2 linked regions of the Coturnix japonica genome follow. The protein of the gene in region 1 interacts with the protein of each later gene in a biochemical or structural test. Links are inferred from orthologs where the notes say so. Each region holds a gene or a part of one and is shown on either strand. Other genes may lie near its edges.

Evidence for each region. The genes of interacting proteins can lie anywhere in the genome.
Region 2: the proteins of NHLRC1 (region 1) and EPM2A form a complex in vitro, tested with the Homo sapiens proteins (3 studies listed by BioGRID, with this or other methods). The link is inferred for Coturnix japonica from reciprocal best matches to the Homo sapiens genes NHLRC1 and EPM2A.

What each region holds. Positions count from the first base shown.
Region 1 is NC_029517.1:68,538,949-68,542,889, forward strand, and holds the start of NHLRC1 (E3 ubiquitin-protein ligase NHLRC1), read right to left. Parts: upstream 2,804-3,941; 5' UTR 2,458-2,803; coding exon 1,312-2,457; 3' UTR 1-1,311. Other genes in the region: TPMT (thiopurine S-methyltransferase), read right to left, coding at 2,957-3,072, 3,869-3,913. UniProt on the Homo sapiens protein: E3 ubiquitin-protein ligase. Together with the phosphatase EPM2A/laforin, appears to be involved in the clearance of toxic polyglucosan and protein aggregates via multiple pathways.
Region 2 is NC_029518.1:41,848,288-41,852,372, forward strand, and holds the start of EPM2A (laforin), read right to left. Parts: upstream 2,803-4,085; 5' UTR 2,729-2,802; coding exon 2,467-2,728; intron 425-2,466; coding exon of another isoform or gene 287-424; intron 1-286. UniProt on the Homo sapiens protein: Plays an important role in preventing glycogen hyperphosphorylation and the formation of insoluble aggregates, via its activity as glycogen phosphatase, and by promoting the ubiquitination of proteins involved in glycogen metabolism via its interaction with the E3 ubiquitin ligase NHLRC1/malin.

The DNA of each region.
Region 1 (3,941 bases):
TTGACCTCCAGCCCACTTTTCAATTAAGCTTTACAAATAGCTGTATTTAATATTCTTGTTTGCTCTGCTTTTATAAATGTGAACACAAGATATTAATACAAGAGGGCTTTAATATATCATTTGAGGGCCAAAATTGCTCCAGTTTGAAATAATTGGTATATGTTATTCATACAGTATTATAAGTAGTTAGTTATTAAATGGCCAAGAAGTCAGAGCAAATGCCAAATGAAATGTTAACCAACAGGAAGACTACACATGAATTCGAAATGGCTTTAGATAATATGCATGCTTTCAGTCAATAAATACACCTTCATAAAAGTTTTACGTTAATCTATTTGTCTCCACCGCACAAGACACATTTATATGCAACTCCCTTTTAGTGCTGCACTAAGTAATTAGTTCAGAAGCACTTGGAATTCCTAGAATGCAGCAGTGACTTCTAGTAGGTGTGTTATTTTGTTCTAAATTTACATGGATTTCTGTGGTGTAATAAGGCAACAGAACTCACATCCACAGCAAAACTGTTTTCAAGAGTTGTTAAGCTGCTATCTGCTACCAGCAAAATACTTTTTGTAGGCTAGGAAATGGCAAGGCTCTCATCCCCTTGCCCTTATTACTCCCCTCCAACATTCAAAGTTTCGACTGAATGCTGCAGAGTGGTACAGAAGTACCATGTTGATTTCAAGACAGACGCAGGCAGTACTGGAAATCTCTCAAGAGTACCTGTGTTACTAACATGGCCAGTTCTATTCTGTAGATGCAGAAGTACCTGTGGTCTAAACACAAATACTTGGAGATGGTTTTAGGGAAAGCCACCCATGCCAGTAACCATACATCACAGTGAAGATATGGATGGATCCATGCGTTATGTGGGAAGTGTTAGCATTTCAGTAAAACACTGAAGAGGTGGTAAGAAATGCATACAAATAAGTGCATTTTCTCAGTATGGAGAAGAAAACAGAAAGGCTTTGAGCATCTATTCACTTCATATGAATCACTAAATGCTGATAGCTCATGTATTACAATTGATCATGGCTAGATCAACTGGCCTTGAGCTGAAGCTGCCATTTCTCCTCGCTTGCTTGGTTCACTGCTGACTTCAGTCTGCAGCAGCCACATTGTCTCCTGCTATACATGGGATCTGGTGTACACTTTGTGGGAAGTACAGTACATTGGTCTAAGAGGGTGATTTCACTTCACACAAAGCCCAGGGAATAATACTTCCTCCCTGTGTGCCTCTGAACACAAGTACTGCACACACTTTGTAGCCAAAAGCAGCTCAAACCAATAGCTGAACACATCTAAGCCCACTCAGGCAGAGCTATATATTTTTACTGAATGATCACCGCTGTCTAAAACAACGAGGGAGTTGTTTGCCGTGTAAGTTAGTCCTATGGGATAAGTAAGCCCATGGCTAACTAGAGGGTTAAAGATGGGAAACTCCTCAGGTTTCCCCAGGCATATCACAGCCTGACTGCAGACATCGGTTACGACGATGCAACCCTCTTTGTCAAAGGCCACAGCCGTGGTATATATTTTGGAGGGGAAAACGAGGTTCAGCCCAAAGCTATCCATCTGGCCAATGAGAGTCATGTCTGCGCTGAATATCTTCAATCGGGTGCTGCAGCTGCTTGGTCCTTTAGTATTCAGGTGCTCTATCACCACAACAGCACCCGAGCTCGGGCAGACCGCCACCCCTCTGGGGCACGTTAATTTGGACCGGACCAGCTGGCACTTCTTCAGCTCCCCCTTGCCAAAGTCGGCCGTCAGGCGGTACAGAGCTCCAGCCTCGGCGTCCGTCACCATCACGTCGCACTCGGGGGTGGCACCCAGTCCCCAGGGCAGGCAGAAGCCTTCCCGCACAGCCAGAGTCCCCCTCCCATCAAAGTCGAAGGCCTTCACCGAGCGGTCCCCGCCGTCGGTGACCACCACGTGCCCGTCCGCCGTGACCGTCACACCCAGCGGGTACTTGATGTCGTTGTCCGCGTCCCCTCGCTCCCCGAACCTCTGCAGGCAGGACCCGCTCGGCCCGAAGACGTGGATCCTCTTTTTGCCGTCGTGGGCCACCGCCAGGCGCCCCGAGCTCCGGCACGCCGCCACCCCCGTGGGGTTCAGCAGCGACCCCCAGCCGCCCAGCGACAGCTGCAGCCGCGGCGGGGCCGGGCCGCCGGCCGCCCTCCCGAGGGCCGAGGGGTTGAGGCCGCCGGGGCCCAGCAGCTCCAAGAGCTGCAGCAGCGGCAGGCAGTCGCTGGTCTCGCCGAGGTCGCAGGGCCGCCGGCAGAAGGGGCACTCCAGGCGTCGCCGCTCGGGGCCGCCCAGCGCCTCCACGCAGCCGCGGCACAGGACGTGTCCGCACGGCAGGTTACGCGGCCGCCGCTGCCCGTCGGGGCCGAACCGCTCGAAGCACACCCGGCACTCCACCAGGCCCAGCTCCGCCTCGTCCGCCGCCTCCGCCATCCCCGACGCGACCCGGCGGGACTCAGCGGGACGGCGCCTGCCCCCTGCGGGACGGATGCGGCGGTGCGGCCCGGAGCACGGGGCCCTGCTGAGGCCTCCAGCCTCCAAGTCGCCGTAACGGTGCTGCTGCTATTACAGAATCACAGAATGACCCGGGTTGGAAGGGACCTCAAGGATCATGTAGTTCCAACCCCCCTGCCTGGCAGGGCCACCAAACATACACATTTACTAGATCAGGTTGCCCAGGGCCCCGTCCAACCTGGTCTTGAACACCTCCAAGGACGGTGCCCTATATCGGGGCAAAGAAAAGCTATGCACAGCTGAAGGCAGGGAAGTCAGCTGTGAAGTCAGAGCTGATTCTGAAAGTAAAATCATCCAGACAAAAATGTTTCGCAGGCGTTTTTTGTACCCTGAAGCCTGCTTTAAGAGTGCCCCAAAACATGTAAAACATCAGACAAACATAAAAGGTAGGAGGTATGTTATTTTAAACTTACTTCAATCAAGCCACAAACTTTATTAGATACATGACTTCCAGAAAATAATCTAGTCCCCACTGCTTGTGTTTGTCTGAGAAGTCACTGACTTTCTGAAGACATTTAATTTCACACTGGCTGCCTGAAAAGGAAGAACGAATGACTGGTCAAAGAATGGAAAGTCACTGAAGAAAGTAAGACATCAGAAAACACAATCCTATGCACAGAGCTCCTCTTGGTCCCTAACAGCGTTACACAAATCAGCTGAGGAAACCTTACCTGTCTATACTGCACTGGCATGCAACTGTCCATAGCAATGACTCACTGCACACAGACACGTCAGAGGTCTCAGAAAGATGTACATTGAAAAGTGCAGTGTCAAAGGATATCAGGAAGAACGTTCAAAACTAAATACCTGCCACAATTCTAACATTATCTTTTTACTGGGATGGAGCTGTACATTTAGCATTTCTGTAGCATGACATTTTAATTTTCTTCTTTGCCAACAAAAGTACAGCAGAAATGGTAAAACCAATATCCAAAGGCCTTGCATAAAAAACAGGTGATGAGGTGCAGAGAAAGGTGAAATGGTCAAACAGGACTGAAGCTACAAGGCCACTACGTGCAATCTGGATCCTGAGAGGGCAAAAGGATGCCAGGGAAGGAAAGAGACAGCGCCTGCCTCCCGGGTTTTCCTCATGTCTTTTCAAGAGCTGCATTAACAGCAAAAGCCTTGTGACAGCACAGCATTTATTTCACTTATTACTTGTCCATGACTCAATATGTTATCTAAAATGTAAGCAGATGACTCCATCACTTGCTGTAGAAGCACACAAATACATATATGTGCTTTGCAAAATAAATTAATTAATTTAAAAAAACAAACAAACAAAAAAACCAAAACAATAATTCTAAGTGTTAGCTGAAGTACTACTTACCAAACAGGCTTTTAACTTCAGATTCAGGAACACAAAATGGTGGTCCTGTAAAGAAAACAGTGAAGCTAATCAG
Region 2 (4,085 bases), on another chromosome or scaffold:
AAACAAACTATATCTAGACTGTAACTATGGCAAAATCTTAATCAAAAGATTATCCCAGTTACCTATTTTTCTACTGCTCAGTGCTTTTCAACACTGAAAATAAATTATTGACCCATACTAAATTCTGCTGTCCCTTAGAAGTGAGGAGAAGGAGTGGATAGCAATAAGTGAGGCATCTGCATAATCAATACATTTATTTCATCATTATAACCACAAATGTTTAATAGCCTTTCACAGCAATCAGAGTTGCCCTGCAGTTGTCACTGTGGGTAGGGATGACACATACCTGTCCAATTCATGTGTATGGATTTGGCAAATACCATTGCACATGCTTATTTTCACTCTTCTAATTTTGCAGTTTCTCGGGCAACTCTCCATTGCTTTATACATCTCCAGTCGACTGCTCAGCTTAAGTTGCTTAATGCTGACATACAGACAGAAAGGAAGAAAAACCTTGTTACTAATCATGTCATTATATGTGCTGAGGGAGCTGAAGAACAGAAGACCAGGAGCTACTGTACTTTGTAAACAAAAGCTTCTCTCCATTCATTATGCTGTATTCAGAAGCAGGTTTCAAACTTATTCAGTTTTGCTCATAGCAAAGTTCCCTCGCAGCTGAAAGGTTCTCGAGCACCCAGTACCACACAGGATGCAACAGGCTCACACAATTATTCAGCTATCAACATCCTACTGCACTTTTTGTTCCTTCCTAGACATTATCTTCTTTAGAACAGGACTAGAATGGAGGAAGGAAATAAAACCCCGTGTTATTTTCAAAAGCAGAACAGATGATGCTGGACTAAATACTGATGAGATTTGCGAGCAGTTGCAAGAGAAGCAGCCCCTGGCTGTACACAGCTATACACAGGTAAAATGGCGACACCCAGTGGGAGCAACGCTGCATAAAGCAGCTCCATTAAAAGGGCTGAAGAAACGTTAAACAAACTATTAACAAATCAACAAATTTCCCTTTCCACTTAATCTACGAAATTAGTAGCCAAAGCCAAAATAAAGAGAAGCTACACAGACACTGAGCCACAATCCCCTACAATGGACCATACCAAGGTCAACATCCACAGCCAGAGGCTGCTTCTAAATTGAACTGAAGACTCCCAAGGAACCACAGAGAACCATCTGCCCCCAAAGTAATGTTTGTTATGTGAACATGGATCAACATTTACTTTCCCCTCCTCAAAAGCTCAGGTACCAAGAGACCATATTGCATCATCTCAGAACAGTTTGGGGCATACCCTTAATATCTCCTTTGTTGTTCAGTGGAACATTTATCTTGCATAGTACCTACAGTTTATTTGGACCACAGACTGAAAGAGATGTATAAATCCAGTTCTAAAGAATCTACACCAAAAACAGATTACAGAAATACAGAAAGGATGTTGCTGAAAAGAAGATAGCATTGATATTCCCTTATTATTCTATTGGGTAAAATTCTTCTAGACTCTGAAGCTCAACATCATTAACTGGTTTTTGATAAATATCACACACTTAATCTTCCTGTATTTCAGGCCTTTCAGCTGAACTCACAGCAGGTAAGCAAAGTACCATTGCCAAAGAAACATTATTTGGACCACAGCACATGCAGGAATCACAATGTGAGCCCAAAGGGCCCGATGGCTTTAAGGCACAGGCCCCAGGTGAGCACCAGCATCAGTGTCATCACCTCGGGTCACTGCAAGCATCTGACCCTTTGGGGAAACAACAGCCTCCTCTCCCACCTCATCCTCCTACCGAGAGGAACCAGTTCCCCTCAAGACACAGGACACAAGCCACCAACCTGTCACTCCCTGTGACAGAATCATAGTATCATTTGAGTTGGAAGAGATCCTTAAAGGCCATCTGGACCAACTGCTCTGCAGTGAACAAGAACACTTACAGCTTGAGTAGGTTGCTCAGAGCCCGTCCAGCCTGACCTTGAGTGTTTCCAAGGTCTGAGCTCCCACCACCTCTGGGCAACCTGAGATTGGCTGCTTAAATACACACCCCGAAAAAGGATGAGGAGTAACTGCTCTATAACGTGCTATTCTCTACACGGATTACAAAACTGGATAAAAACGTGGTGAATTCTTTAATCATCCGTCTTCTATTCACCAAGTCTGATCCTTTCCTCAGTGAGGAGAGGTGAATTTCACAGAATTGTAGGGGTTGGAAGGGACCTCTAGAGATCATCGAGTCCAACCCCCCTGCCAAAGCAGGCTCCCTACACCACGTCGCACAGGTAGGCGTCCAGGCGGGTCTTGAATATCTCCAGAGAAGGAGACTCCACCACCTCCCTGGGCAGAATTTACAGCTTCATACTTCTGTATCTACAACAACAGCTCGTAGAAACTGACTAAAGTAACTGAGCTCTTAAGAACACAAGAGAGAAAAGCAGCCCCCGCAGCCCTGCCTGGCCCGGCCCGCCGCGTCAGCTGCCAGCCCCACCCCGCTCCGCCCGAGCCCCGCCTTTACCTTCCCATAGAAGCTGGCCGCCCTCCCGCCGCAGGAACTTGTACCAGAAGGGGCTGGCTGTGTCCTCGTCCGGCAGCAGCACCTCCCCCAGCCACAGAACCGGTTCCTGGGCCGCCAGCGCTGCGCTCGGCCGTGCTGGCTGCATGGGCACGGCGCGCTGCGGGTCCCACTCGCCCAGCTCCGGCCGCGAGCCGGCCACAAGCAGCGCACCGCCGCACTCTGCGATGCGGGCCGGCAGCACCACGCCGAAGCGGAACAGCATGGCGAGCTGTACCGGGCCGAAGGCGGCAGGGTATGGGGTGGGGGGAATGAAGCCGTGCCGCCGCCAGGGGCCGCCCCGCACCCTCACTTCCGGAGGGGGGACCGGGGCGGGCGGGGCGCTCCGGCTGGGGCTGTGCCTCGCTTTGGCTGCCCGCTGAGGGCATGGGATGGGCTGCTCGGCAGCACGGCCTCAAATGTCAGAGTTCAAGGAGTGTTTGGACATTGCTTTCGTAAGGTTTGATTTTGGGAGGTGCTGTGTGGAGCCAGGGTGATTCTTGTGGGTTCCTTCCAACTCGGGCTATTCAGTGCATCCGTGACTATTATCCCAGCAGATAACTAATGAACTGAGATTGCAAAGGGTTGCTCGTTACGTATATTGACTTTAGCGAGCATTACTGCTTTGTTCAATGAAGCTGCTGCAATTAGTCCAGAGAGACTTAATTTAGTGCTGCAAACACCTCATTAAATCACTGCTATACCTGCGGTGTTACAAACAGCCTCAAGGTTTGGTCCCAAATAACGTGCTTAGTGCTCAGGACAGTTATACCTCCTCTGTAGGCAGGGAGATGCCAGCCATGGTGAGACCAGGAATGTGAGGGACTGGTGGGGGCAGCAGGTGGTAGACAGCTCTTCAACAATTCTGCTGCTCTCAATTGCCTGCATTCTAGCTTGCCCTTCTGGCTGTAATTTGGCAGCTCCTACATGTAGCAATATTCAGGGCTTGCAAAGACTGAGGGAAAGGATGCGATCCAACCATTTATAGGACGGTCCTTGTCTGAATACACCCATTTCAGAAGCGTTTAAAGACAGAAACAGAGAAGTAGTAACTTTATTTAGGTCAAGTTCTGGGAACAGGATGAAGGCCTTTCAGTGAGTCAAAAGAAATCCTGCTTCAAAAGGTGGCTGCTTGTTTCCTGTGTTCGATGGCGATGACACACTGAAGAATATGTACTGCCAAATGTATTTTTAAGAATGCTTGAGCTCATTTTCACTGATCCCAATTCAACTTTTGTAAGTGATATGCCACCTCTGTTCCAAACATAACCAAAGTGAAGGGGATTCTGGCAGCCCTCCCCCTAGCCCTGTTGCTTTTGTGGAACAAAGCAACACATTTTAATCCTTGTTTTTGCTCGACCTTACAGTCAAGTTACCTGCAACCTGTCTCATAATTATCCATCAAATATCTACCCTTGTAGCATACACTTTCATTTTAGTATTAAGGGCAGTACAGAGAGCGATGGTAAACTTAGATTTTCTACCTCAAGCGTGGCAGTAGTCCTAAAAGCATCTTGTGTCTACATAAAACCCCAAAGAAGTGGTGGAGTCACCATCCCTGGAGGTGTTCAAGATAAGGGTGG